Linked DNA regions of Ovis aries. The main gene of each other region encodes a partner of the protein of the gene in region 4 in a complex. Links are inferred from orthologs where the notes say so. Each region holds a gene or a part of one and is shown on either strand. Other genes may lie near its edges.

Evidence for each region.
Region 1: DRC3 (region 4) and IQCG share a complex: the UniProt entries of both Homo sapiens proteins name them as parts of the nexin-dynein regulatory complex. The link is inferred for Ovis aries from reciprocal best matches to the Homo sapiens genes DRC3 and DRC9.
Region 2: DRC3 (region 4) and GAS8 share a complex: the UniProt entries of both Homo sapiens proteins name them as parts of the nexin-dynein regulatory complex. The link is inferred for Ovis aries from reciprocal best matches to the Homo sapiens genes DRC3 and DRC4.
Region 3: DRC3 (region 4) and IQCD share a complex: the UniProt entries of both Homo sapiens proteins name them as parts of the nexin-dynein regulatory complex. The link is inferred for Ovis aries from reciprocal best matches to the Homo sapiens genes DRC3 and DRC10.
Region 5: DRC3 (region 4) and FBXL13 share a complex: the UniProt entries of both Homo sapiens proteins name them as parts of the nexin-dynein regulatory complex. The link is inferred for Ovis aries from reciprocal best matches to the Homo sapiens genes DRC3 and FBXL13.
Region 6: DRC3 (region 4) and CCDC153 share a complex: the UniProt entries of both Homo sapiens proteins name them as parts of the nexin-dynein regulatory complex. The link is inferred for Ovis aries from reciprocal best matches to the Homo sapiens genes DRC3 and DRC12.
Region 7: DRC3 (region 4) and DRC1 share a complex: the UniProt entries of both Homo sapiens proteins name them as parts of the nexin-dynein regulatory complex. The link is inferred for Ovis aries from reciprocal best matches to the Homo sapiens genes DRC3 and DRC1.

The regions. Positions count from the first base shown.
Region 1 is NC_056054.1:191,034,503-191,038,240, reverse strand, and holds part of IQCG (dynein regulatory complex protein 9), read right to left. Parts: intron 2,350-3,738; coding exon 2,079-2,349; intron 1-2,078. UniProt on the Homo sapiens protein: Component of the nexin-dynein regulatory complex (N-DRC), a key regulator of ciliary/flagellar motility which maintains the alignment and integrity of the distal axoneme and regulates microtubule sliding in motile axonemes.
Region 2 is NC_056067.1:14,319,860-14,324,263, reverse strand, and holds the start of GAS8 (dynein regulatory complex subunit 4), read right to left. Parts: upstream 2,852-4,404; 5' UTR 2,792-2,851; coding exon 2,789-2,791; intron 1,198-2,788; coding exon 1,111-1,197; intron 1-1,110. UniProt on the Homo sapiens protein: Component of the nexin-dynein regulatory complex (N-DRC), a key regulator of ciliary/flagellar motility which maintains the alignment and integrity of the distal axoneme and regulates microtubule sliding in motile axonemes.
Region 3 is NC_056070.1:61,298,280-61,302,733, forward strand, and holds the start of IQCD (dynein regulatory complex protein 10), read right to left. Parts: upstream 2,946-4,454; 5' UTR 2,844-2,945; intron 1-2,843. UniProt on the Homo sapiens protein: Component of the nexin-dynein regulatory complex (N-DRC), a key regulator of ciliary/flagellar motility which maintains the alignment and integrity of the distal axoneme and regulates microtubule sliding in motile axonemes.
Region 4 is NC_056064.1:34,294,461-34,298,198, forward strand, and holds part of DRC3 (dynein regulatory complex subunit 3), read right to left. Parts: intron 1,282-3,738; coding exon 1,135-1,281; intron 1-1,134. UniProt on the Homo sapiens protein: Component of the nexin-dynein regulatory complex (N-DRC) a key regulator of ciliary/flagellar motility which maintains the alignment and integrity of the distal axoneme and regulates microtubule sliding in motile axonemes.
Region 5 is NC_056057.1:45,627,305-45,629,910, reverse strand, and holds the end of FBXL13 (F-box and leucine-rich repeat protein 13), read left to right. Parts: intron 1-1,505; coding exon 1,506-1,689; 3' UTR 1,690-1,883; downstream 1,884-2,606. UniProt on the Homo sapiens protein: Substrate-recognition component of the SCF (SKP1-CUL1-F-box protein)-type E3 ubiquitin ligase complex.
Region 6 is NC_056068.1:29,498,634-29,503,122, forward strand, and holds the start of CCDC153 (coiled-coil domain-containing protein 153), read right to left. Parts: upstream 3,039-4,489; 5' UTR 2,815-3,038; intron 2,696-2,814; 5' UTR 2,684-2,695; coding exon 2,614-2,683; exon of another isoform or gene 2,329-2,613; coding exon of another isoform or gene 2,289-2,328; intron 2,216-2,288; exon of another isoform or gene 2,211-2,215; coding exon 2,145-2,210; intron 1,776-2,144; coding exon 1,632-1,775; intron 1,094-1,631; coding exon 845-1,093; intron 1-844. UniProt on the Homo sapiens protein: Component of the nexin-dynein regulatory complex (N-DRC), a key regulator of ciliary/flagellar motility which maintains the alignment and integrity of the distal axoneme and regulates microtubule sliding in motile axonemes.
Region 7 is NC_056056.1:33,576,885-33,581,115, reverse strand, and holds the start of DRC1 (dynein regulatory complex protein 1), read right to left. Parts: upstream 3,030-4,231; 5' UTR 2,965-3,029; coding exon 2,810-2,964; intron 209-2,809; coding exon 121-208; intron 1-120. UniProt on the Homo sapiens protein: Component of the nexin-dynein regulatory complex (N-DRC) a key regulator of ciliary/flagellar motility which maintains the alignment and integrity of the distal axoneme and regulates microtubule sliding in motile axonemes.

The DNA.
Region 1 (3,738 bases), on a different chromosome or scaffold from region 4:
ATAAATATGAGTTTTTAGAAGAGAACTTGAAGGAACTAGCTAAATATTCTGGTCCATTCACCTCCTTGTACGGGAGGGTGTTAGATTCTAAGGGAAAAAATAAGAACAGTATTCCCTGCAAGGGAGCTCTTTCCAAAGTTCAGATCAATTACTCCTACTTCTGGTAGAACTTAGTACATTAGTGTGTTTTTCATAATTCCATTCCATGATTCTTTAGCTATAAAAATGGTTGTGGAAGAGGGACAATGCTAACTAAATTTTCATCCCAGTGTTGTTACTGTAAAGCTCAACAATGTGAAGCTTTTAAAGAAGGAAAACATCCACATCAGTACCATAAGGTTTTTAAATATTTATCTTATGCAGGGCAATGGTACTGTAAAAATTTATGAGTTAGAACAACTATAATACTATAAAATGAAAAATTATTTTAAAGAGTCACATTCGTAAAAGTTATATAACTAACATATTCTGAAAGGGGCTTTTAAGCTCTATTAATCAGAATAAGAGTATAAACCTTTACTGTTTATATTTCTATAAAATCATAAGGAGGGCCTCTCTCTGTCATGTCAGAAAATTTTGTGGGTGAAGATCATAAACCAGATTAAAACTGGAGAAGTTTTGTTCTTTTATGTACTGGAATGGTGACCACTACTGAATGTTGTTTATAAATTTGTGTTTTTCTTTCTCTCTTGAGTTTCTATGATGGAAAAGTACCCTTTTTAAAGCCTGACGTAAATATCATTGAGAAAACTTTATCTTGTTAACTGAAGATATTTAGTGAGGTTAGTGTCTCTTCTGTACTATCTGTTAACAAACAATTTAAGAATTAGACTAATTTTAAGTGCACTGAAAGGTTTAGTTCTTGGGTTTCCAGATGTCTTTGCTTTTCATAAATTAATAAGGAAACTAATTTGTTGCAAAATTCCTATAATACCCATTAATGTTTTAAAATCACCCTAAAACTCATAGAATGTTAGTATTAGAAGGGCTCATTTAGTTAAAACTCCACCACAATTCATAAATGAGAAAACTAAGACTGAGAAAGTGAAATGAATTGCTTATTGCACAATTCAACCATAATGATCCTGTAACTTCAAATCCACTTTTAAAACCCTAATAAAAGTTTTGTGAATCCCGTTTATACATATAGCAGTAGTAATAATAATAATAATAATTATAAAATTGTAAGGGGCAATTAGAAGGAAATTTAATTTTCTAGTCACAGTAAATATGGGCTTCTTTTCTATTAGACATGAAAATTAATTTACCCTCTCATTTTTATAGCAAGTTGCATTTATCACAGAATCAGATATAATCTGTACAAATTATATAATTGTGTTAAACTTAATAAATATGTACTTAAAATAAAATGTAATAAAATTTGTACTTAAAAATTGTTTCTGGTTTAAGGGCTTAAGAATTTATGAAAGATTTTGCTCACTATCAAGTTGAGTTTTTTGATAACTCAGTGGTGCTTTGAGGGAGGAATCCATAACATCATGGAAAATGTAATGGCTAGTGCAATAATGCAGCTGGATATTGAGAAAAGCAGACTGCAACATATTTCGCAATGACAAAGTCATTTTAGATAAAAGAAATGTTGACAGGGTCCAGTTGAATTTCCTCCCCCTGGTGTTCAGTTAGCTTTTGTGCTGTTGTGCTTAATCGCTCAGTCCAACTCTTTGCAACCCCATGAACTATAGCCCGCCAGGCTCCTCTGTCCATGGGGATTCTCTAGGCAAGAATACTGGGGTGGGTTGCCAGCTGACAAATACCAATACAAGACAAGAAAACACAATTATTTATCTCCTCAGTATATATATTGTATTTATACTGACTTATCTATGGACTTTTTAGAATAACGCCAACATATCAGGAGAAAAGGATATTTTGTGAGATGTACCGTGAACTATGTCTATTTCACTCCATTAGCTGAGAGTACATATCTTAGATAATTACTGTAGCCCTTTACCTGACTAGAAGGTGCTATTGCCCAAGTTGAATTGAATGGCATAGGTACTGCAAATGATGGAGAAATAAAGAGAAAGCAAAAATTAAGTAATGGTGAATATATATACCATGCTGATGCTTTGTCTTTTTTCATACTGAACTGGCATGATATAGTTTAGAATGGAGAGCTGGTCTGTGGTGTCCTCCAGAACTGCAGAGATCCTCAGCACGTCTAGAATGGATAGCGGCTTCATGATTTCTGGGCTGATTTCTATGACTGCTTCTTTATCTGTTTCTTCCTTTTCTTCTACAGAAGTATTAGGTGGTTCTCCTGTCACTGACACCGTCACTTCAGAAGGCCAATCTTCTGGAGGAAGATTTGAGGCTTCCAGTTGACCTCTAAAGAAAGAAGGAAGGAAAAAATAAGTCAACCATCAGATGTTTAAAATCACTTAAATCCAAAAACACAGGCAGCATGTAGATGGGTTCCTGTAAAGTCCATTTTGCCATATACTCAAGAGAATGAATGGAAGTACTTTGCAGATGATTCTGCTTAATAACCCCCAGTAACATTCCGACTTCCCAGAGAAAAGCAACTCACTGTTTATTAAAGATGTGGACCCTCTGCTATTTGACTATGCTCAACCAATTTGAACTTGAGCCAAATACACTTTTTTTCTAGCAACATTTTCAGATGCTAACCAAAATTGTCTCATGGTTATGTTAACTGAAAGCTGAGCCTCTCTGTACACCGGGTGCCAAATCAAATCCTGGAGACAGAGTTTGGGGTGGAGAAAAGGATAGCTAGCTTTATTGCTCTACCAGGCAAAGAGGAACCTAAAACCATGTTCTGTCTCAAAAAACCAAGAGTCCCAACCCTAGAGAATTTGATGAGGGTCAAATGTGGGGTCTCTAACAAGATTAGAGTGTGGGCAGAGCTTGCACTTCCTTAATCTCATTTTAGGTGGTGGGTCTTCTAATCTTGATGAGCTTCTCTTGTCCCTTTCATCTTGCCTCTGGTGATTTGGCAAGATGAATTGATTGGGCTTCCCTGATAACTTAGTTACTAAAGAATCCACCTGCAATGTGGGAGACCTGGGTTCTGTCCCTGATTTGGGAAGGTCCCCTGGAGAAGGGAAAGGCTACCCACTCCAGTATTCTGGCCTGGAGAATTCCATGAACTGTATAGTCCATGGGGTTGCAGAGTCAGACAGGACTGGGCTACTTTTCATTTTCACTTTCCCTTGATTAGCTTCCCAGGTGACTCCTGTGGTAAAGAACCCACCTGCCAATGCAGGAGACATAAGAGGTGCTGGTTCGATCCCTGGGTAGGGAAGATCCCCTGGAAAAGGAAATGGCACCCCACTTCAGTATTCTTGCCTGGAGAATCTGTAGGGAACTAGGTTTAAAGAAGGTTGAGAAGTGCTTGCAAACGAGACTCTCAACCAGGGCTGGACATTTTTGCAAACGAGATGTTCTGCCCAGTGTAGGGAACTAGGTTTAAGGAAGATTGAGAAGTGCTTGCTAACGAGACTGTCAACCAGGGCTGAGCATTCTTGCAAATGAGATGTTCAGCTAAAAATCCTATTTGTTCCCATGGGAAAAGAACATTGCTTGCACACAAGGATGTTTCTCTGATTCCTCAAAAGGAACAGACCTTGGGACAAAACGGATTCTAAGTTGATAAGGAAGTTCCCAAAACAAAGTCTTAGCTGCAGTAAATAAGCCAAGGTAAAGGTTATCTCGCCCTGCGCCTGCGCACTGTATAGTCTCTGAATCATAGTGCTT
Region 2 (4,404 bases), on a different chromosome or scaffold from region 4:
ACAGAATGAAGCAGGGCAAAGGCTAATAGAGTTTTGCCAAAAGAACGCACTGGTCATAGCAAACACCCTGTTCCAACAACACAAGAGAAGACTCTACACATGGACATCACCAGATGGCCATCACCGAAATCAGAGTGATTATATTCTTGGAAGTCAAAGACGGAAAAGCTCTATACAGTCAGCAAAAACAACACTGGCAGCTGACTGTGGCTCAGATCATGAACTCCTTATTGCCAAATTCAGATCTGACCACAGCTGGCCTGAATCTCTCATCTTACTACTGCCTGGACCCCGAGAGCCTCCAAGCTCTGCAGACTGACCCCTGCCGTGTCACAGGACAGGAAGTAAACCTGTAGGCAGGAAACAGTCTGATTGTTGGGGTGACACAGCGGGTAAGCCAACCTCCATGAGGCATCCCCAGTGACCCCCTCGAAGCACAGCCTGACCTCATTACCCTCTACAGACTGCCGATGGCTTCCCTGTGTGAGAAAGAGAGCCTGTTCACCACTTTCAAGGGCCTCTGCCCAGCTCTCCATCTTCAGGTCTTATGCCTTGTTGAATCTCCCTTGATTTCTTTTATCTTAAAACCATCAAAAGTAAGTAAGGGTCATGAACACTTCCAGACCACATCTGCTCTCATGGGTTGCGCAAGTTATAGGTTTTGGGAGCCTTTCAATTGAAACTGTAATTAATCAAATCATGTTCCCTAGCTCTTAATGTCATCGAAATGAACATGCGGCCTAAAATAACTCACAGTGTTTAATGGTAAATCAAATAAATGAGAATGCTGTAAGTGTATATACTATGATTAACATCTCCGTAAACAGTAGGGGCCTAAAAAGGGTAAGAATGAAAGAAAACTTAAAATAGCTTTATATCAGAAAAACATTTCCTTCCAAGTTCCTACTACCCTAGCGGAAAGTTTACCCATCACACGTGCTGCATTGTTTCACATGTCCTGGTGTGGGCAGACGGCAGGAGCCAGACTGAGGGGAAGCAGACAAGGAGCCGGGGTGCTGCAGTCTAAAAGAACTTCCTAGGACCAGCGTGGGGCAGCAAACCCATCCCACCTGCCCCAGCAAGGGGCCGTGGCCCAGCCAGCCCGCTCACCTGCTCCTTGCTCATGTCCTCCGGAGCCAGCCCATCAACAATCGGAGTGCCTTTGCCTTTGCCTTTCTTCCCTTTCTTTTTGGGCGCCTTGGATTGAAGAATACATGGTCGGGTTAGGGTTCACTTCTGGCTGGTTCATTCCCTTTCAGGGCCATTCGGGAGAGGAATTTCTGCCTGGAACCTCTATCTGACTGCCCACTGTCTCAGGCTTCCACCCGGGCCGCCTCACTCTGCCCTAAGGTTTCCCATCCTTAACCACAGGCATATTCTGTGGACAGCAAAGAGAAATCTCCCTTCTCAGAAGAGAATATTGCTTCCCCTCAGAAAGGAAGAGGGAGAACATGTTCCTTGTATACAGCAGAGACTTCCTTGGTGTGGAGCAAAAGCTACTCGGCCTCACAAAGGAGTATCCCCAGCAGCACAGACTATAGTGCTTGGCAAGTGCCAGAGAGAAACCTGCAATATATCGCTCCATGGGCGCAAGGTGGGTGCCTCAGAGACCGGGGGTGAAGACTGCTGGCACAGACTGGCACTCACACACTGTGGGCTCTGTCAGTGCGGTGACGCCTGCTTTTAACCACTTCTCCACGGTGCCAGAGGGGACCTTCTGCCCCACTGCGTCTCCAGGGGCCACTCAACAGAAAGAAAACTAACGCCTTATCCTCTGCCCTCACTTCTCACAAGTTTCTGTGGCTCATGCTTTTGTCTATAAAGAGGCATGCATCTGCACGTCTCTGTAACATTTTTATTACCAAAAAAGTTTATGAGGAAATGTTAGAAAGCATAGTAACAAAAAAAAAAAAAAAGGAAAATCATGCATATTTCCCTCAAGTTAGTGAAAGTAGATGTATTTTGGTGATCTTTTCCCAGCTGACTTGCAAAAGACAGAACCGCTGAAATCTTCACTCCTAAAACACTGCCCTCTTTCTAACCCTCTACTCCAAGAAGTCCAACCCATCAGAAGAGCCCAGGAGCTTACTCAGCATCTGGGAGTAAGGCAGTGGTTGGGGCCTCTAGAGCCCCTGGGGCCCCCACACACAGAGGGGTCCCCGCACTGATGGCCACCCTGCCACACCTGCCTGGAAACTGGGTGACCTACAGCCCATACAGCACAGGGGGGAGTGAGCAGCTGAGAGCCCTACCACAGAGGGGTGGGGACTGAGAAGCCCAGAGGCAGCAAGCTCCACTCTGCTCAGTTCCCGCCTGACTCCTCTCAGGTTTGCCCAAGCTCTGCCCTGGGGACTTTACGTGCGCTGGAACCGCTGTCAGGACCCTCTGGCCACCATGGTATACCCCAGGTTCCCGATCCCAGAGGCTGGAGGACCTCTGTTTCCCAAGGATCTGATCAATGAGCCTTCCATTCCAGGTAGGGTAGCCACTCGACCCAGGTTTTCCGGTCCGGACACGTGCACACCAGTCCCTAGGTCTGGGGGCGGGAGAGACGGTGCTCTCTGACCACCACCCGGGTGTGTACAAGATTCTGGAGAGACCAAGTCTCTCAGCTCCACGGGGAAGCCGCGTCTGCGAGGACACCCCGCCCCCCACCCCCTAGAGCACCAAGCCCGCAGCTCCAAGACCCCAAAGCTCCAGATCTCCCGTCCCGGGGACTCCCAGCGCCCAAGGCCAGCCGACCCCTGAGCCCTAGGGCTCCGGCGCGGACCCTATGAGACCGCCTCACCATGGTTGTGGTTTCCCGCCTGCGTGGACCAACAAACCAAAGTGCCCGGCCTTCCCAGGATGCGCCGTCTCCAGGCAACGACTGCACGATCCCGCGCGAAGTCTCGAGAACCATCGCGATACCCCGCAGGCAGGGCCGGTGCCTCGCAACGGCGGGAGTCCTTAGCAACTAACCAGGCGGAGTCTGTAGATTTGGGCCGAAGCTGGACATTATCCACAAGCTACCTCTCCAAGATACCTGGGAACGCATTCCTTTCGGGACAGGTCTTGTTTACTGCGGGTCTTCCCCACTAAAAGTTAAGCTCCACGGAGGTTGGAGGAACGGTTTCCGTCCACTTGTTACGTACTCTACGTGGGTACAAGACCTACAGTGCATGAACTCAAAGAGTGAGCGAGGGGAGGCGGCCACACCGCGACTTTACCCAAATTAGATTCAAATTCTCGCGGAACCTCTGCTCTGGGGCCTCACCTCACCCTGCCCCCCTTTGACGATTCCTCCCACCTGAGGCTGGAAGACAGCTGGATTTCCACAAAGCCTCAGAGGAAGCAAAAGTAAGGCGAGAAAATTATATTCCAGCGGGGTCCACAGTTTTGAAATCAACAAGTCTCCCCTTCACAAAAACTAACTGCTCTTCCTAAAGAGACTTTGTCCTCCTGGTGAGGAAAAACTAGAAACCTTTGCTACGGGCTTCCAGACGAGCTCTGCAGGGAAAAAAAGTCTTCAGGGGTTTTCTTCCCTCTAACCTCTTGCTCTGAAAACTGCTAACTGCTTTACAAATTGCAGAGAGAATTTCTGATCCCTCTTACCATCCAGCTACCTATACCCAAAACAACACCATTTGTTGTCTTGTTTTCCACACTCAACATTAGCATCTTATGAAATAGTGGTTTTGCGGCAGGTCAAGCTTTTCTGTCAGTTTGGGAATGGAGAGGAATCTTCTCTCCCTGGAGAACTGCCTTGGGCACAGAGTGTGAATAGTGGAGAAAGGCTCAGGTCAGGGAAGAGAGCCACAAAAAAGAGCCTGGGGGTTTCCTCTTTGCCCACCCAAGACTTAATTGTTCCTGGAGAGGAATGGCCCTTTGGAGGGACTGTATCAACCGACTTGCACAAAGAGTGACATTTATAGCAGTCCCAGGGCCTCTGGGAGGTCTGATGGTGTCTCTGTGCCTGGGCTGACAAGAGCCTGAGCCTGTGTCAGACACGTCTGGTCTGATAGGGGTCTTCTCCCCTAAGGTAGGCTCCTCCCACAGGGGTTCTGGCAAGTAAGACAGTGCAGCCTGGTAGGACAGAGTGCTAATGATTATTATTTAGCACTTACTATGCTAGGTGCCTCATGCTGACTGGCTTTTTGCTTTAGAATTCTGGCTGGGAGTCCTGAATTAAACGAATGCATTAACAATAATTCCTTTCAACAAAAAGGGCAAGAATAGGAGGGTTAGCTCAGGATAACAAGACAGGGTATTCGTTTGTCACAAATGAACAGCACAGCATGGTTTATCAGTGTGCACTGCCGAGATGAAGAGTTCAGGGAGGCCTTGTTGCCAGCTCTCTGGGCTCCCCACAAGGCCCATGGTGACCTGTGCTTTTCATACTGAATTTGAGTTCAGATTTATAGA
Region 3 (4,454 bases), on a different chromosome or scaffold from region 4:
TTACATAGCAAGGACACAAGAGGAGTGCAGTGATATATAACAAAGAGAAGTAGTTAACTCAAAAGTCTAGTGTTGCTAACATCAGAACTACTATATATCTTTTTCCATATCCCGTTTATATTGATTAATATCCTCCCAGGTGCCTAAAAGATAAAGAATATGGAGGCCTGGCAGCAGTCATTGAGTCAACAGCAAAAACCCTCTACCAATATAATTTTTAACTCTTTAGAAATGGCTCTGTATCTTTAAGATGCTTCTAAGCCTTGTGCCTCTCACGGTTGGGGGGCTGTAAGCAATTCACAAGAGGTCTGGGGAACCTGTTAGGCAAGCTAGAGAGCAATCAGAGGGGGTTTAACTGAAACATTCCTTTCAAATGCAGAAGACTAAAGCCCTGAATTGACTTTTTTCCAGAGAATATCAGAAAAGTGGAAAAGCAGAGTACAAAGGCTGGCAGATTTTTGGTTTTGGGGGGTACATGCTCAGGAAATGCCAGGGGGAACTCTGAAGTCTGATCACGACCTTGCGTATGTCAGCTTCCTTCCTCATGACCTTGTCACGGGCAGGATTCCTCACACTGGCTTCTGGCATTTCATGCCTTTTCTTTTTTGTCCCCATGCTATTTACTGAATGCTTTTTATTGTGTTAAATGTTTTTAGTCCATTCTTTTAATTATTCCATTGATTTTTAAAATATTTTTTGAGTGTTTTTTTTTTTTTTTTTTTTAGTGGTCGATTTAGGGATTATAATGTACACCTTAATTTATCATAATCTATTCTGGGATACTAAATATTTTCTATTTGATAGTCATTGTTATCTTGTCTTCTTTCAGTTATTTAAACATGGTTTCCTTTAGTTCTTTGATCGTATTTATAATAGCTTTTTTGAAGTCTTTGTCTGCTGAAACCAACATCTGGGGACACATAGAGACTGTTTCTATTGACTGCATTTTTCCCCTGAGTATGTTTACACACATCTCACAATTTTTATTGAACACTGGAAATCTTAGAGGGAAATTTTTTTTGGTAGCAACACAGTATTTTTTTTTCCTAATGATTGCTGTTTTTGTTTTGCTTGGGCATTTGGTAATTTACTTCCTGGACTAAATCTGTCAAGTCAGTCTCCTCCATGGTGTGCAGCTACTGATATCTCTGCTTAATTTTTTTTGCATATTTTTATTTTAAAACTTGGCTTCCTAGGGGTCACCTATGTATCCACATAGTTTAATATTCAGCCAAAAATCAGTCAGGGGTTGTGCTCACACTTTGAACCAGTAAGGCTCCTATTCTTGGATGGCAAGTACCCTATGCACTCAGTACACCTGTCTACACCAGGCTCCAAAGGCCAAGCATTTCTAAGTCTCTTGGGCCGGAGCAGGTCTCTGCTGCACATGCGCATAACCTCTAGTCAGTCAAGGTAAGACAGAGCTCATCAGGTTCCGCATGGATGCCGCATTCCCCAGAACTCCAAGTTTTCAGTGCACTGTTGGCGCCGAATAGAACTACAACCTTGGACTGCTACACCCGCTGGCGTTCCCTGTTCTCGTCCCACCAAGATTGCTACTTTAGCCAAGAGTCCTCCAAATCAAGTGAGCCCCATCAGACAGCGACAGTGAAGCTCTTGGTTTTCAGGGGGCTACCTGCCCTCGTTGAACTATTATGCCAGATAGAACTGAGTATGGGGAAATCAGAGAAGTCCCAGGTAAGTACAAAACAAACTTGAAGTTCGGTGGTTTTATGAATAAAAGCTCTCAGTTTGTTGTATGCCTTTGGCTGATTTTCAGAGTGCTAATTTAGCAATAGATGGTTTTGTCTAGCTTTATAGTTGCTTTGAAAAATTATTACTGTGTTAAAATATACATAAGTTCAGGGGTAAAGAATCCACCTTCAGTGCAGAAGACCGGGTTGGAGTCCTGGGTTGGGAAGATTCCGTAGAGGAGGGAATGTCAGTCCACTCAGGTATTCTTGCCCGGAAAATCTTACGGACAGAGGAGCCTTGGCGGGCTACTGTTCAAGGGTTTGCAGAGTCAAGACACAACTGAAGCGACTGACTTTGATTGAAGCAACTGAGCACTTATGCAGGCAACATAAAGTTTACCACTGTAACCATTTAAAATTCAGTGGCATTAAATTGTTACATTCATATCTATATGCAACCATCACCACCATCTGCCTTCCAGAACTTTTTCATCATCCCAAATTGAAACTCTGTACCAGTTAAGTAATAACTGCCCGTTTCCCACTCCCCCAGCCCCTGGCGACAACTATTCTACTTTGTTTTAGTTAATCCTTGCAACAAACCCTTTCTCTTGAGTATGTAAATGAAATTATATTTTAAGGACAGTGATGGAAGTTAAGGTCTAAAGTTATTATAGCACAAAAGGCCAACATTGGTACAAAGGTACATAATTTAAACACTCACTCTCATTGCATGCTCACCTTGGGATTTATAAGCTGTTGACAGAATGGTAGGGGACTTATAAAACTACTCTCTCACCCCCAACACCTATGTGTAACTTGAAAGTAGTTTAACTTAGCTGTGAGTCCACTTGACTAGTATCATCCACGTTTTACGGATGAGGAAGTGGAACCATGAAGTGGACAAGAGGAAGGGCAGAGTAGAGGCAGAGACACCAAAGAGGACGCCCAGTCGTCTTTGCAGAAGGTCGAGAGGGACGTCCAGACTGAGGCAGGGGCTGGAGATCAGGGTCCTGAGCTGGGGACGGGCTAGCGGTGGGGGGAGGGGGGACGGGATGCTGATTCCTCAGAGTGTCAAAAAGATAAGAGGACTAGATCCCATTCAACATCTCCCCATCATCTCCAGCCCTTCCCCACATGATCACTCACCTGCTCGGTGGTCTTTAAGTTTTTCTGTCCTTGGTTACCACAGCTGTTCCTGCGTTGCTAGGTTACCCATCAATCTCAGAAGGCGGGACTCGGTGTCTGATTAACTTTCCTTTTCGCCATTCGATTCCTTATTCCCCTCGGTTTGGTCCACCTCCTGAGGACTGACCAATCAGAAACAAGGTGTGTCTAACTCTCCACCAATTGGAAGAGCCGGGCGTCCCTCAGGGTTAAGCTGAACGAGTAAGGCGGGGAGAATAGGCGTGAAAGGGGCGGAGCTTCTTTGTCCCGCCTCTCTTCCCCAGGGAGGTGGGCAAGGAGGCTTGTATTAACTGGGGAAGGACGTAAGGATTGGCCAATCAGAGATCATCATGACGCCCGAGTTAGCCAATAGGGCGCGGCGAAGGGGGGACTGGGGCGGTGCCGGCCAGGCGAAGGGGACAGTAGGCGGCGGATGGGAGAGCTGGCGCAGCTGCCGTGGTGGCAGCGGCTGAGGTGGCGGTTTCTGCGGCGGCTGCTGCAGCTGCAACAGCTCCGGGCTCGGGGCTTTGGCGGCTGCGCCGGCGGGCTGTGCTGTGCTGTGCGGACCCCGGCGGTCGGTCCGGGTTGCTGGGGCGGCGCGTGTAAGAATTCGAGGCATGTGAGGGATGGTCAGAGGAGAGGGCAGAGGTCAAGGGGCAGGGGGCTCGGAGTGAAAGGTTGCGGCTGGGTATTTGGGTGTGGGAGGCGGGCAGGTCGGGCCAAGAGGGGTTGCGGGGAAGTTCATTGCTGCGCTTCTCTCCCTCCAGTCCTGATGTGGGGAGGGGGCCCAGCGTGGGGACCGCCCGAGGAAGCCCGGGGCGGGAGAGGGGGCTCAAAGTCGAACACGTGGAGTAGAATCCCGCACGCCTCTTCGCTCCCCTTTCTCTCTCAAATGCTCATCTCCCTGGAGCCCTCAGTCCACCCACCCTGCAAGAGACTCTTGCCCGGTCCGTCTGCCCGAGTGGAGCGCGGGACGGCCTGCCGGCTTTCCCTGGGACCTTTCCCTAAGGGGTGACCCTTCCATTCTGGGTCCTCTCTAGAGGGAGAAGCACTGTGACTTTAAGTAACGTCCCTTCTCTTCCCCGAGCCTCAGTTTTCCCTCTCTAAAATTATGGGTTTGAATTCAGATGAGGGGACTGGTCTGGGAAGAGAGGAAGGGTAATGGTTAAGCAGGGAGGGTGAGACTGCCTGGGTTGAAATCTGGGCTCTATTACTTCCCAGCGGTCTACTTACAAGAGGTCGGTTAATTTAACCCCTCTAAACCTCACTTTCCTCATTGTGAAGTGGGGACATCAGCTGAGTAAAATTTCCTAACAGCAACACTATTCACATATTGAGGCACATATGTCTCTGTTGTGATAACCCCCTCTGAGAGCCACAAAACTAATGCATTCATTACAAGCAAACAGTCATATATTATACAGTTAAAATAAAAGCCAGTAGCTACTATAATAACAACGATATAATTAGGAAAGCTCTTCTTGATGAGTTGAAAAGGTTAATAGCCTCTCCAGCCTTCAAAATAAATACTGGCCAGGACAAGATGTTAATAATTGTCAGGGCTGAGTGATCAATACAAGGAAGTTCATTTAC
Region 4 (3,738 bases):
CGCTCTCGGCTTATTCTCAGCATTTGAGCCCCCGTTGCCCTTCAAAGTATTGCCTAAATGCAAAAAATAAGACTTGAGAGTCTTGAAATTCAAAATTTCACAGTCCTGTCCTGTTCCTGGACAAGAGAAGGGCATGGTTGGGGAAGGAGGGGCAACTCTCTGACCCCCCTGGTATCTGTGGACCCCCAGTCTCTGTGGACCCCCTGGGTCTCTGTGGACCCCCTGGATCTTTGTGGATCCCCACTGGTCTCTGTGGACACCCCCAGAAAGGTTCCTGCGAGCAGAGGGCTCCATACTTGGAAGGTGGTGCAGCAGCCAGGCCAGCAGGGTCAGCATGGAGACCTGGGGACCAGCCAGCTCTCCCGGTGCCCCCACGTCACCTTAGGGCCTCCCCCCATGCCAGACACAGGCTCCTTCCTCCCAGGAAAGGCAGCAGCTTCTCATTGGAGGGTGGCAAGTCCCCCACCTCCTCATACCCTGCTTTCATCCCGTCCTGCTGCCAGAGGCCTTCCCTGTCGGGCGGGGTTTTTTCCCCTGGGGGCAAAGCACCCACAAACTGGTCACAGGGTAAAGGGTAAAAAGCTCCCAGCAAGGGTATAGGACAGAGGCAGGGGTGTAGGACAGAGGCGGGGGTGGCCTGGCCAGGCAGTGGACAGGGGCAGGGCCTTCCACCTGGGGTGAGGCTCCCTCAGGCCAGAGACCCTGGCTCTGCTGCAGTTGAGCCCAGCTCTCTGCTGGCCACCTCGGCTGTGGGGTCCTGGGGGCATCCCTCTGGGGTCAGCGAGGTTGGCACTTTGGGGTGCTACCATGACCTGTCAGTGTCACTCCTGGGGTTGCCTGTTGTGGGGGTGAGTCCTGACTTTGCCCTGAGCTGCTGAGCCCACTGAGGGCCAACTCTCACTCAGTCTCCCAGACTTGTCCACGGAGAAGCAGACAGAGCAGGACAGCAGCAAGGAGGCGGGAGGAGGCCCAGGACAGGGCCCAGCCAAGAACGTGCACCACAGTGACAGGGGCCGTTAGGGTCAGGAGCCTCCAGGAGGGGCTGCTTTCCTCTCCTCCCGTGGACGTGGCCCTCCCCAGATGCCCAGGGCCTGGACGCTGACCCACAGAGCCCACATTGAAGGGAGACGCTACCATGTGGTCGTCGAGGCGCCGGAAGTCCAGGTACACGAGGTCAGGGAGGTAGGCGCAGATGAACATCTTGTAGTCCTCGTCCTCGGCCACCGGGTTCCCGGACAGGCTGAGCGTGCGCAGGGCCTTGAACCGCCGCAAGTAGATGACCTGAGGGGAAGGCGGGCCTGTGTGCTTTCTCCGCCCTCTGCCCACACCGGGAAGCCACGAGGATGAGGAGCCGTGGTCTTTGCCAGGGCCAGTGGATGGGGTCCCACGCTCACTGGGGACCCAGTCTCCCCATCTGTGAAGGGGCCGCAGGGGTGTCACACGCAGGTGTTGAGAGGACCCAACGCTGCGAGGAGCGCCAAGAAGAGGGCTGGCACCTGCTCCCCAAGCGCCCGCTGTCCCTCCACCCTCCACTCTCAGCACAGGCACCCTTTCCACCCGTCCGTGCTCTGAAAGGCCCTGTGCCCTGAAATTCAGCAAAACCTGAATCTACTGGGTGGCAGCTGGTGGGACCACCACTAACAACCATTTACTTTTCCTGTTGTTAGTAACGAGGGACATTCAGCAAGACCACCAGCCCCTCATCTGTTGCATCTCCTCCCCTGTGTGAAAGACAGAAGAGAAACCTGCTTCTCTTCCTTCCTGAAGGGATTTCCTTGTCAGTTGTTTATTTGTTCAGCAAACATCACTGAGCACCTGCCAGCCTGGGGACAGAGTGGGAACAGAGCCCTCAGAGCAGGAGCTGACACTCTAAGGGCAGGGGACAGGAATGCTTCAAAAAAGTCAGCAGAGGGACTTCCCTAGGGGCACCACAGATAAGAATCTGCCTGTCAATGCAGGGGACACAGGTTCCATCCCTGGCCCCAGAAGATCCCACCAAGCAGCGGAGCCCCCGCGCACCAAGGCCACTGGGCCCACATGCCTAGATCCCGTGCTCTGCAACAAGAGAAGCCACAACAATAAGAAGCCAGCACGCCGCATCTGGAGAGCAGGCCCGCCTCCTCCGTCTCCGCAACTGGAGGAAGCCTGAGGAAAGCAGTAAAGACCCAGAACAGCCAAAAATAAATGCTTTTTAAAAGTCAGAGACGTTGCTGTTGGTCATAAGCGCTCGAAGAACTCGAGGGGGTAGGTAGGGAGGGAGCCTTAGGGACAATGATAGGGGTGGGGTTCTGTTAGGATTTGAGCCTCTGAACTCTGAGGAAGCAGCAGGAAGAGCAGTGGCGAGTGTACTCCCAGGAGCAAAACCAGCACAAACGAAGGCCACGCCATGGGAAACGGCGTGACCAGTGCCAGTAAGCAGGGAGGGGCCAGGAGATCTGAGAAGATACTGAGAACAAGGCCAGCCCTGATTCATCTGAGACCTGGTGGGCGGCGGTCAGGAGTCTGAAAGCTGTCTTAGGGAAATGGGAGCTGTTGGAGTTTTCAGGGTATGTGGGGTGGGGCGGGGGGTCAGGACCTGATTTCATTTTAAGAGCTCTCCCAGTGGGATTCCAGTTTTTGTCTTTGGGATCATCAAAGCAAGAAAGGTCTGGGAGCAAAGTGTGCTGTGGGTGGTTAGAGGGACAGGACTTCTTGTCATTGCTGCTGGGTCTGTAGGTGGTTCCACTTCTGTAGATGGCCATGCAGCAAGACCCATCACAATGAGAAAATGCCCTCGGACCCAGCAACTCCACCTGGAGGAATTCATCTCCCACAGGGGCTCATCCAGGTGCACAGTCAGCCTCTATCAAAGACATCCCCAACAGCCTGTGTATGACGGCATGAGGTTGGAGAACACCTCAGTGTCCACCCATGGGGGCTGGAGAACTCCATCCTGCAGGATCTAAGCAATGGAATGTCCTGTGGTGTGTAGAGGACACCGATGACTTGCGGGGGGTGGGGGGGCGGGGATGACCCAAGACAGGCTCTGGAGAGTAGCCAGACAGGTGTGACAATCGTGTGAAACATTTAGACAGTAAGATGCCCGGAAAGACACATGTGCGATTTAGGAGCAGTTGCGGCCTCTGGCAGGGGACACAGGGGCAGAGGTCAAGGGCGAGGGGCTCTGCTCTGCGTGCCCTGAGTTCTGCTGAGTCAGCCACTTGCTTTTAATTCAGTGAACAAAATGAAAACAAGCCTAATAAATATATAACAGGAAAGTCTATAATCAGATATAAGAAACTCAGGGCAGGCAAGGACTGAAACCAGAGATGCTCTGGGCTTGTCGGCCATGAAGCCAGCGCCCCCTGCCTGTCTCTCTGGGGACCAGCTGCACCTGCTTCTCCTGTCTTCATGGGGTGGGGGGTGCGTGCCTGGCACCCAGCACGCCCTGGGGAAATGGGGACAAAAGAACAGCCCAGGCCAGGGAGGGAGGTGGGTGTTCACAGCAGGGTGGGGCACAGCCTGAGTCGGTTTCCCCTCCCTGCCCAGGCCTGGATCTGCTCAGGGCCAGGGCTAGTGTCTGAGGATGACAAGTCAGAGGCAGTCCACTCACATACAGGCTCCCAGGTGCTGGACCTACCCAGGCAGCAGCAGCTCTAAACACTCAGAAAGTTTCCCACAAGCATGATTTGGGGCTATTTGGGGTTTACCCTTAACTGAAAATTCCTGAATAAGCACCATTTCCTCCATAGCCCCTCT
Region 5 (2,606 bases), on a different chromosome or scaffold from region 4:
TGTTGAAATATTGTGCTTTATAGGATATATATATTTGGTCATTCAGAGGATCAAAATTTATCTTTTATATATATATTTGGTCTTCCTCCATGGTTTTTGGCTCACAGCTCCCAAAATCTTTGGAATTTCCTGAGTGATAAGAGCAATGGAAGAATCTTTTATCATAGTATTTGGTCTCTCATCTTCAGTTTCTGAAACTGATTCAGAGCCACAAGGTGAAATATGGGTGTCTTGTTATTCATAACAAGTTCCTTTCTACTACAACTGAGTTTATGTTAAGGAGGTGACTTCTGGAAAGCACCTAAGGATGAGGGCTGGTTGCCAAGGGAATCAACCCTGAATAGAGGAGTGAAACATTTTCAGGATGATTTCAAAAATCACCCTCTGATTTCTGGGGAGAAGTGAGGGCCTGGAGGTTGACTCAGTCACCAATGGCCAATGATTTAATCAATCATGCCTACATAATGAAGCCTCCATAAAAACCCTAAAGGGTTGAAGATCTTCCAGGTTGCTGAATGCATAGATTTGGGGCGAGTGGTATGCCTGTAGAAAGCAATGAAGATTGGTATCCTTTCCCCATATCTTGCCCCATGCAGCTCTGATACCTGGTTGTTCTTGAGTAATATCCTTTAATGAACCAGTGATTCAGTAAGTAAATGTCTCTGTTTTCTGTCAGCAGCTCTAGGTGGTAGATCAGAAGCCCAGGTAACAAACACATCTGGAAGGTTTTCCGTGGGTCTGAGCCCTTAACTTGCAGAATCTAATGCTATACCTGGATATATAGTGTTAGAATTGGGCTGAATTATAGGATGGCCAGCTGGTATCTTAGAACTGTTAAGTGGTGTGGGGAACACCACCACCCCATGTTGGAACTGGGGTTCCAAATAACTTTCTGATGATTTCTTTGCTTCCTTCTAAGAAACACATATTTTTAATCATTTTGGTCATGGACACCTTTGAGACGTTAATGAAAGTCACAAACCCTCTCCTCAAAAAAAAAAAAAAAAAAAAAAAAGCATAGTAGATACAAAACTGCATGAATTTTCAAGGAATCCCTGAGTCCTTCCTGAAGTTCATCTGCATATCCAACAGGGATCTGTGGACTCTAGGTTAGGAGCTCCTGCTCTGGTGCACAGCTAACTTTCACGGGTTGCCTACTTAGGATACTTCCATCAAAGAAACTCAAATAACAAGCAGAGAGCTCACTTAGGAGTGCTAGCTACAGAATGCCCTCAGTGTTTCCACGCCTTGGCCATGCTATTTCCTTACCCATTTCAGTGTCTGTTAATCTTTGAACTGATTGAACCAGAGAACTACTGAGCTACTGAAGCTTTGGGATCCTGATTATTAGCACAATTTACCCACACCCTCCCCCTCAGGAAGGCAAAGAGATGTGAATTTGAGTTGTGACAGTGAGTTCTTTAACTCCAAATGTGGTCTAATTTGAAAATTCTGCACTAGCAATTACTTTTTCAACTAGCTAATGCTCATCACTGTTATTACAGGGAGGCAGCTTTAAGAATGTCATCTTTAGTTCAGCACCAGGAATATAGCGCTTCTAACCCTCCACTTTGGTTTGGCTATGATTCTGAAGGCAAGTCTCTTACAGAGCAACAAAATACATCACTTAAAGATTCAGAATTGACCATGAAAGAGTCAACATACAGTAATGAAGAGGAAGCAGTATGACCTTCAACCTCAAGCAAGAACCAAAAATCTAGAATCTGGCAACTTCATTTAATGCAAGTATTTTTTACTAGCTGGACCTGATCAATGTAAACAAGCTGGAAATCATTTCCAGATTTTTATTCCAGCTATGTGTTTGTAAATACATCTATGAGTTCTTCTAACAACCACGATTAAAAAAAGCCAAATCAAGTATTGCTACTATGTAACTTTTCTACGTAAATTTACCTTAATCAAATTGTTTTGATGAGATTATCAAATCTAGGTTACAGTTGTATACAAAACAATCCTGACAGATGTGATGTTTTTGACAAGAAATTTACAAGCGTCTCCTTAGAAAAGAAAGCAGAAGGCTATATAAAATAGTAAGGGTTTTGAGTGAGAGCAACGACATTAAGGATCTGTAAGGCTTTATTATAAATGATATAGATATACATTTTAAAAACAAACAAAGCTTTCTAATAATTTCTAGACACTTAACAAGAGAGATCTAAATGCCAATTAACCTAGGACTCATTTCAACATTTGACTTAACAGTCAGAGGCAAATTAAAAAGAAACAGTCCCTTTTAGTCAAATTTGCACTGTCCCTACAATGTCTCAGAAAGATCTTTTTTTATTGAAGTATAGCTGATTTACAATGCTGTGCTAGTTCAGGTGTATAGTACAGTGATTCGGTTATATACATGCATGCACATACATATATATTCTTTTTGGATTATTTTCTTTTTTTTAATAATCTTAAATTTTTATTTAAAATTTTATTTTTTAATTTTTAATTTTTATTTTTACTTTATTTTACTTTACAATACTGTATTGGTTTTGACATACATTGACATGAATCCACCACAGGTGTACATGCGATCCCAAACATGAACCCCCTCCCACCTCCCTCCCCACAACGTCCCTCTGGGTCATCCC
Region 6 (4,489 bases), on a different chromosome or scaffold from region 4:
TTGGATATCTAAAGCTAAACTAAAGCTACTTTAAGATAAGAAAACTTTGAGGGCAAAATTGTGGAAAATCTGTGCCATGCTAAAATTTTTCAACTCTGTCCTGTTAACCAAGATGGAAGAGAGCAAAAGCTTCCTGTTTGTTTGTTTGTTTTTTGTTTTGTTTTGCTTTGTTGCTTATTTAGAAGCTCATTTATTTATTAGCAAATAGTTATTCAGGACCTACCACACATTAGGTCTTGAAGATACGGAGGTAAGTAATTCAAACAGTTATATTCAAGCTTGCTTTCATTCTAAACATCAGCCAAACTAAGAGAGACTGTGTTTTGCTCGTGAGAGACATGTGGGCAGTGGGGAGTAAGAACTGTCTTTAGAGAGACCATTGAGAGAGGGAGGTGCAGTGAGAAAGTTAGGGCTTCTTCATTTATAACTAAAAGGTTAAGATTGGGTATTTTTTGCTATCCTGAACCTTCTGTTGCAAGTAGTAGAAGAGTCAGTGGGGGAAGACAGTATGAGAGCTTAAATTGCAGTTTTCTAAAGAAAGACCATTCTAACTCCACCCCTTCAGGCTGGACTACATCAGTGTGATCCTCTGAGAGAAAGTGCTGTGAGGGCAGGGTGTGCTGTGTGTGCGTGCTAACTCGGTTAGTGCTTGACTCTTTGTGACCCCATGGAATGGGGCTATCCAGGCTCCTCTGCCCATGGGATTCTTCAGGCAAGATTACAGAGTGAGTTGCCATGCCCTCCTCCAAGGGATCTTCCCGACCCAGGGATGGAGCCCACATCTTTTAAGTCTCCTGCATTGGCGGGCGGGTTCTTTACCACTAGGGCCACCTGGGAAGCCTACCTAACTGCTCCTGCAGGCCCTTCACTTCTTCCTCCAGCTTCCTGGTGCGACTCTGCATCGCCTCCTGCAGGCTCCGGCACTGACGACTCATCTCTGGCAGAGCCGTGGGTGGCCAGGGACCCAGATGGGGAGAGAGCAGTGGAGAAAGGACAGAAGTTGTGGGTGGGGAGGGCTCTGCTTGGTCCAGTGGACAAGTGCATAAAGGTCTGTTGAGGGCCTTCCCTGGCAGTCCAGTGGTTAAGACTTCACCTACCAATGCAGGGGACGCGGATTTGATCCCTGATCTGGAAGCTAAGATCCCATATTCCTCAGAGCCAAAAAACCAAAGCATAAAACAGAAGCAATATTGTAACAAATCCAATAAAGACTTTAAAAATGGTCCACATTAAAAAAAAAAAAATCTTAAAAAAAAAAAGTCTTCTGGATTCTTGTGGTGATCTGAGAAGGTAGGGACAGAGCTAGGAAATAAGACACCCATCCGCTATGGTAGCTCAGTATGTGAATTCAGGCCCTCCTTCCCACCCACTCCCACGGGAGGAGTGAGATAAAGGCTAGGGCTGCGTTTCATAGTCCACGGGACATCAAGCACAAAGCACTGCATGTCACGGAAGGTTCCTGCCCAAGACCACAGAAGGCCCCCTCAGGATTCCTGTGGGTGCAGGGAGGGCTGAGGCTAGGTATGGCGGTTCGAAGTCCTCCTTGTCTCCCTTTCTAGCATCCTTGGGCCCTCCCAGTTGTCCTCTTCCGGGCCCCTGTCTCCCGCCCACCTGCTCGATCAACCTCACACCTGCATATATGGCCTTCCCTTCGCTCCGGGCCCCCTCCAGTTCAGCCTCCAGGTCTTTGATCCTCTGCTTCAGCTGGTCTTCCGAAGCCTTGGCTCGGCGGGCTTCATCCCTCTGCAGAGCTGTGAACAGTCCAGAGCAGCCCTCTGCACTGGTTGGGGGCTCCACTCAATCAATCAGCCCCCATGGCCTTGATGGACTCTGTCCACCTTCAGAAACCTGGCGGCAGCCTGCCAGTCTCTCATCGTCATTCTGTTTCCCTTCCCCGCCTCAGAATCCTACAGACTCTGTTACTAAGAGGGAAAAACTCCCTCTGTGTTCCAGCTATAAAAGTTAGCTTTCTTTATCAACCCTCACGGCCCACCCTGTCCTCATGACCCCAGCTCTTGACAATCTTTTCCCATTAGGGGATGGTTAGAGATCAGCTCAGCCCTCCACCATTGTTCCAAAACTTTAAGCTCCCAGGGATACACAAATGCCCACTGTCTCTGTTGCCGAACTTCTACCCTTCTTACCCAAGCGGTCTTGGAGCACCTCCTTTTCCAGCAGTGCCAGCCTGTGCATGGATTCAGCCTCCACATCTGCCCTGGCAAGACAGCAGACCCTCAGCTTGTCAGGATCTCAGCCTTCCCTACCCTCCTCCCACCCTCCTCCCATACCCTGGACTTCTCTTTTTTTTGTGGGAGATACAAGGACCATTAAATGAGGGATCTCTGATAGCAAAGCCTAATGAGTTCACTACCCAGCTCACAGTAGGTATTTGAAAGATTGTAATGAATATACAAGGAAGGCACACAGCCAGAAGGGATTCATGGGTGCTGATTTTCCCATGTTCCCAGCTCCATGGCACCCGAATATGGATATAAAGGGGGAAGGCCAAGACAGCTCCATCTTGTCACGCAGAGGGATGAATTCTCTCTGGAGGTCTCTGAGCCAGAACAAGGAGAGGCTGGGAGGCACCCACCTCCACCCAGTCTGACTCACCAGCACCTGCATTTCTTTTCTTCTTCTGGGCCCCAGCTTTTGTCCCTTTTTCTTTGGTCTTAGGTGGCATCTCCTTCCTGTCCTGGAGGGAGGGAGGGGGCTCATATTTAGGTCTGGACATGGAGACACTCTCCTGACTCCCTAGACGGAACCAGGAGTCCCAGGAGAATTAGTGCTCTCATCTCCAAGTCTGTCTCTTACACTTTCCAGAAGCTTCAGTTCTTGGTTTCCTTGGAAACTTAGGCAAGGCTGGGGCCAGGGGGAAGGATGAACCCATTTCTCTCTACCAGTCAAGCTCTAAGTACAGAAATCATTCCTCTCAACCCTCTTTCAGAGAAAATAAAGCTCAGTACCTGGCCCCTTCTCTCTTCCCATCATCCTTACCCTGCCTCTTCCTTCCTCCAAGACCCTCACTTGTCTCTGTTGTATCTCCCTGTGGCGTGACCCACTTTCCAGGAGGGGCAGAGAAAAGGCCCAACCAGCTAGGAGCCGGAGGAGGAGATTGTGTTCTGGGACCCAATCCAGAGTGGCAAATTTCATTTGGGGGTGGGACTGAGAACTGGAAGGTTGGGCTTCTGGAGGCTGCACGTTGTCCAGGCAACTGGGAAACATGGAGCTGTTAGGAAGGTACATGCATGCTTGCTCAGTCGTTATAATTGTGTCTGGTAGAAGGGGCTAAATACAATGCTTAAAATACCAAGGTCTCAGAGGGCCAATACTCTTCTTGTCCCCAGATCCTAAGTGTAGTTTGAGGAGAGAGGGCTTTGGAACTGATTAAATATGATTCACTTCTATGTAGCACTGCCTGCAATTTGGACACTTACAAATTATAGATTTACACATCCAAAATAATGCTATTGCGCTGATACAGAGGAAAAGAACTCACGGTAGCCATTTGGGGTGATTTACATTTCCCAAAGTCTCATCAACAAAATGACATTATTAAATAGGCTTAAAATTGAAGATTTCAGGAAGGTATTCTACGGTGAATGAGGGAAAGAAATTCAGGAGATGGTGGTTGAGAGAGTTTCCTATTTCAGATAAATGAGACACAGAGGAGAGTTCGACCTAGGACCTCAAGGTGCTGTGCTAAGTCACCTCAGTCGTGTTCGACTCTTGCAACCTCTTGTGACCCCATGGACTGTAGCCCTCCAGGCTCCTCTGTCCATTGGATTCTCCAGATAAGAATACTGGAGTGGGTTGCGATGCCCTTCTATCCTGACATAGATGCAAATCAAGAAGAAAGGGTACTGGTTAGAGACAGGAGCTTTTGAGTTCTCATCCTTACCCTTCTCCAGATATGTAAATTTGGGTAAGTCATTTTCCTTGCTCAGCCTCAGTTTCCTAAATCTTTGATTTTGTAAATCTTGAAAGGCTTGGATTTTCACCAGGTATTTACAGGACTATCTTCTTTTATGGTGACTTAATATATTTCCTCTTTCTCCCTATTCCTGTCTGTGGTTGATTTTCAGACAGGTGCTGAGAAAATAACCAGCTTGGTTCCCTGTGGCATTGAGTTGATTTGGGCTCCCTCTAGTGGATTTTCTTGACCTTCTAGTAAGTCTCCTGAATTTTTCTATTTAAATTATTTATGGAGCAATGTTGGGGGCACCCCTCATTTAGGGGTGCTGCCTAGCATCTTGCTGGAGTCACGAATAGTTGGAAAAATAAATCTGGGGAAGGGAGAACGCTGAGTGGCTTGCCCTGGTTAGCTGTTCCCTCCCCGAAACCCCTCTCTCCAGCCTTTTGCTATTGGGAGCCTTTGCTGTCTGTCTGCCACCCAGATTTGTGAACACCAAAGTGGCTAAAATGAAAACAGCAGAAACTTCAGGGCTTTCCCCCTTGTGGATTTAGGGAACTGCAGACTCTTTCTTTA
Region 7 (4,231 bases), on a different chromosome or scaffold from region 4:
GAAGAAGAGGGGGAGGGGCGGGGCTTGGCATTGCTGCATCAAAGGCCCAGCACAGAAAGAGTGAAGCCTCCGTCTGGGTCCTACTGGACTGGTGGGACCCATTTATACCCCATTTCCTACCAGTCTGCTTTCTTCTTTCTGTTTGTAGCTCTTGCTTTGATCTTCCTCACTCTCCTTCTTCCCGTCTAAATATTCTCCAAGAGCTTCCCTGGGATGGCAAAAAATGTAGAGAAAATGAAGTTTAAATTCTAGGAAGTAAAACCTTTCACTTTTTTTCCTAACTTCTTGTTTTGTTTTGTTTTGTTTTTAAATCTTTCTGCTGAGCTGTGCATGGCCTGGGGGATTTAATTTTAAATTTTCATAGTATATTTCACCATATACAAAAATATATTCCATAGGGATAAAAATTCGAATACTAAAAAGAACACAATCCAGGATTTCCTTGGTGGTCCAGTGGTTAAGACTCTGAGTTTCCAATGCAGGGAGTACATGTAGGATCTTAGCTCGCTCCCCATGGAACCTGCCTCCCCTGCATTGGAAAGGCAGAGTTTTTTTACTCCAAGTGGCATGTAGGATCTTTGTTCCTCCAAACCATTCCCTAAAGAGCAACAAGGGTGATCTTAACATGCTTAGAAAGTTGAGAAATTCTCACACTAGGTTGTTGGCCTGTGGGTAAGAGCTATAGCCATATGGAAGGTCAAATGGACACTCCAAAACTGCACCCAAGTGCACAAAAAGCAATACTGTATACCAGGGCTACGGTAGGGATTAGCATCACCCTTAGGGATCTCAAGGACTTCCCAGGTGGCTCAGTGGCAAAGAAGCTGCCTGCCAATGCAGGAGACGTGGATTCAATCCCTGGGTTGAGAAGATCCCCTGGAGAAGGAAATGGCAGTCCATTGCAGTATTCTTGCCTGGAAAATTCCATCGACAGAGATGCCTGGTGGGCTACAGTCCACAGGGTCACAAAGAGCTGGACATGACTGAGTGGTTGAGCACACAGTACAATTAGGAATCTCACAGATGTGGGAGTGGTGGTGCCTATCAAATCACCATTTAATTCACTGGTCAGGTCCCTGCAAAAACTGGATGGATGGAGCCAAGAAAATGATTGTCAATTACTGCAAGCTCAAGCAAGCAGCAGTCCTAATTGCAGCTGTCATGCAGGTCCTTGCTTGAACATATAAGTGTGGCCTTAGGTACCTGGAATGTGGCCACTGATTGAGCCAAATATGCTATTTCTACCTCAGTCAGGAAAAAGGATTAGGAAGTTCATATCGAGGAGGAACAGATAATACACACTCATACAGTCCTCATACTTGCAGGGCCATGTCAATGCTCCTGAGCTGACAAACTAGAGTCTAGATAGATCAGGACCACTTGGATATCCCACAGAGCATCACACTGATCTGTTATCTCAGGGCTGCCAAACTTTGGCTGATGGGCCAAATCTGATTCACTTGCTTTTGTATGGCTCAGGAGTGAAGAATGATTTTTTTACATTTCAAATGGTTTTTTGAAAAGATCAAGACGAATAGGCAGAGTGCAGGGGATTTTTAGGGCAGTGAAACTCTTCAGTACAGTACTGTGATGGGTAGATACATGTCATTATATATTTATCAAGATCCAACTGTTGTACCAATGTACCATTCTGGTGGAGAATATTGATAGTGGAGGAGGTTATACATGTGTAGAGTGCGTGTTAGTCACTCAGTTGGGTGTGACTCTTTGTGACCCCATGGACTGTAGCCCACCAGGCCCCTCTGTATGGGATTCTCCAGGCAAGGATACTGGAGTGGGTTGCCATTTCCTTCTCTAGGGATCTTCCCAACCCAGGGATTAAATCCAGGCCTCCCACATTGCAGTTAGATTCTTTACCATCTGAGCCACCAGGGTAGCTTCATACATGTGTAGAAGTAGGGGGTAAATGGGAAACCTCTGTAGTTTCCACTCAATTCTTCTGTGAACCTAAAACTGCTCTAAAATATGAAGTGTATCAATTTTAAAAAAAAAGATCTAAAGATGAAGAATATTCTGTGACACACGAACATTATATGAAATGCAAATTTCAGTGTCCTTAAGTTAAGTTTTTGTTGGAACACAGCCACATCACTCTGGGCCCCTTGTGTCCAAAGACCGGCAGACAACAAGAGAAGCACCATCTTGGCAAGGCAGCTGACCCTGACCAGCAGGACGAGGTATAAGCGCTGTCACACAGTGCGGTGTTCAGGCAGTCACAGGTTCACGCAAGTTCCCCTCGATCCCCCTTCTTAAGACAGGCCACAAAGTCTGTGAGTGGACGAGGGTGGCAACCCCAGCCTGAGAATGGTACAGTTATCAGCCTCAGACTCTGCAGGAAAACGGTTTTGTGTCACACAACCAGTTAAGCCACTGAAACCAACAGAAGTGATAGCCGAGGTCTGCTCTGTAACCCCTTGTGGAAGGAAGGCACGCTGGGAGGCAAGGAGGAAAGAACGATCTCGGGGGACCGGTCATGAAGCCCCAACATCTTCAGGTACGGCCCACAGTGCCTGGCGCAGCAGGCTCTCCGTGAACGTGCTGGAGGGATTCCTGTTTCCATCTTTGACTTTGCTAAGTGTATTCAATGCTTTAATATCACATACTTTGTTTGAACCTTCTGGCAGAAAAGTTTTCTATCTCATCAAGAAGCAAGACCAGCTCACACGTAGGGCACGCGAGCCCCTCACCACAGGGGCTCCGGCCTGGAGAAGCCACCCCCTCATTCCAGCACCCAGGTCACCTGCACCCCGGGCGCTCCTTGGAAGAACGCGCCCAAACCCTGACTCACCGCCTCCGAGCTTCCAGGCGCGCCGCAATGCGCAGGCGCCGGGCCTGGATCCGCTCCTGAGGATTATCAGAATGTACGGAGGGTCCGAGAATTGGGGTGGCTAAATGTTCATCCTCCTTCTCCTCCAGGACCCCCAGGGATCCTGGCGGATTCATGGCAGGTGCCTTCCGCCCCCCGGGCAGCCCTGCCTGGACCACCGTGGGACTACAGTTTGGTTGCTAACAACAAAGCTGTTGCCAGGGAAATGCAGTCACCTGACCCGCAGCTGGCGTGGTTGCGCGCGCAGCCCCTAAGGCCGGGCGCACTGGTGTTCTTAGCGCCGTTGTCTCAGCTTGGGGTTTTATTCCTCTGCTGCAATTACGGTGAGGACTGTATTGAATCCCCCACTAAGGCTCAGGTGGTATTAACAGAGGCCGGAAGACTTAAGAGCTGAACCAAGTTGTGATTCATCACTTACCTACCCTATGATTAATTCATCCATCAAATAAATAATCCTCAAAATCACCGTATTCAGCTAATGTAATTCAATGTCTACTCTATGCCAATCACTGTGCTAGCTCCGAGGATCCAAGCGTTGTCTTTTCCTCGATGGAGGGGGTAGAATAATAGGTTCACTCAGAAATTCTGAACTAAAGTACATTGCATCCACCTGCTTGTCATCCATTCTTTTTAAAAATTAATATGTATAACTTTACTTTTGGCTGTGCTGGGTCTTCTTTGCAGCAGGCGTTTTTCTCTAGCTGCCGCGAGCGGGAGCTACTCCTTGTTGCAGTGCATGGGCTTCTGATTGCGGAGCAAGGGCTCTGGGGCGCAAGGGCTCTGGTAGTTGCCGCTCCTGGCTGCAGTAGTTACAGTCTCCAGGCTCCAGAGCACAGGCTCAATAGTTGCAGCACACAGGCTTAGTTCTTCCGTGGCACGTGAGATCTTCCCAGATCAGAAATCCAACCTTTGTCTCCTTCACTGGCAGGCGGACTCTTTACCACTGAGCCGCGGAGGAATTCCCATCATCCATTAGTGTTTGAGCTCCTACTTTGTGTATTCAGCCTCTATCGTCTCTAGAATGTGAAAACCCCCTGCCATCAATAAATGTATATCCAACAAGGAACCGTTGTCTTATGTAGCGGTTTTCAGTAGGGCTGCACTCCCTCCATTACTACCCGCAATCACATACAGAAAAAAGAGGAGAGCAGAGAAAAACAGGTAGGAAAGGGAGTGAGGGGGGAGGAATGAAAGTTAAGAGCACAGAAGCACATTTAAACTTTCGAAGGACTACTGTCCCTTGAAAAGCACTATTTCCTGGGTGTTTTGTACGTGTCAATTGTCGCACTGCGACAAAAAATGCACCGCGTTCTTATGTAGCATTAAGACTCATTCGAAAACAAGCAGGATAACATTTGATCGAACCTTGTACTACTGGCCTGA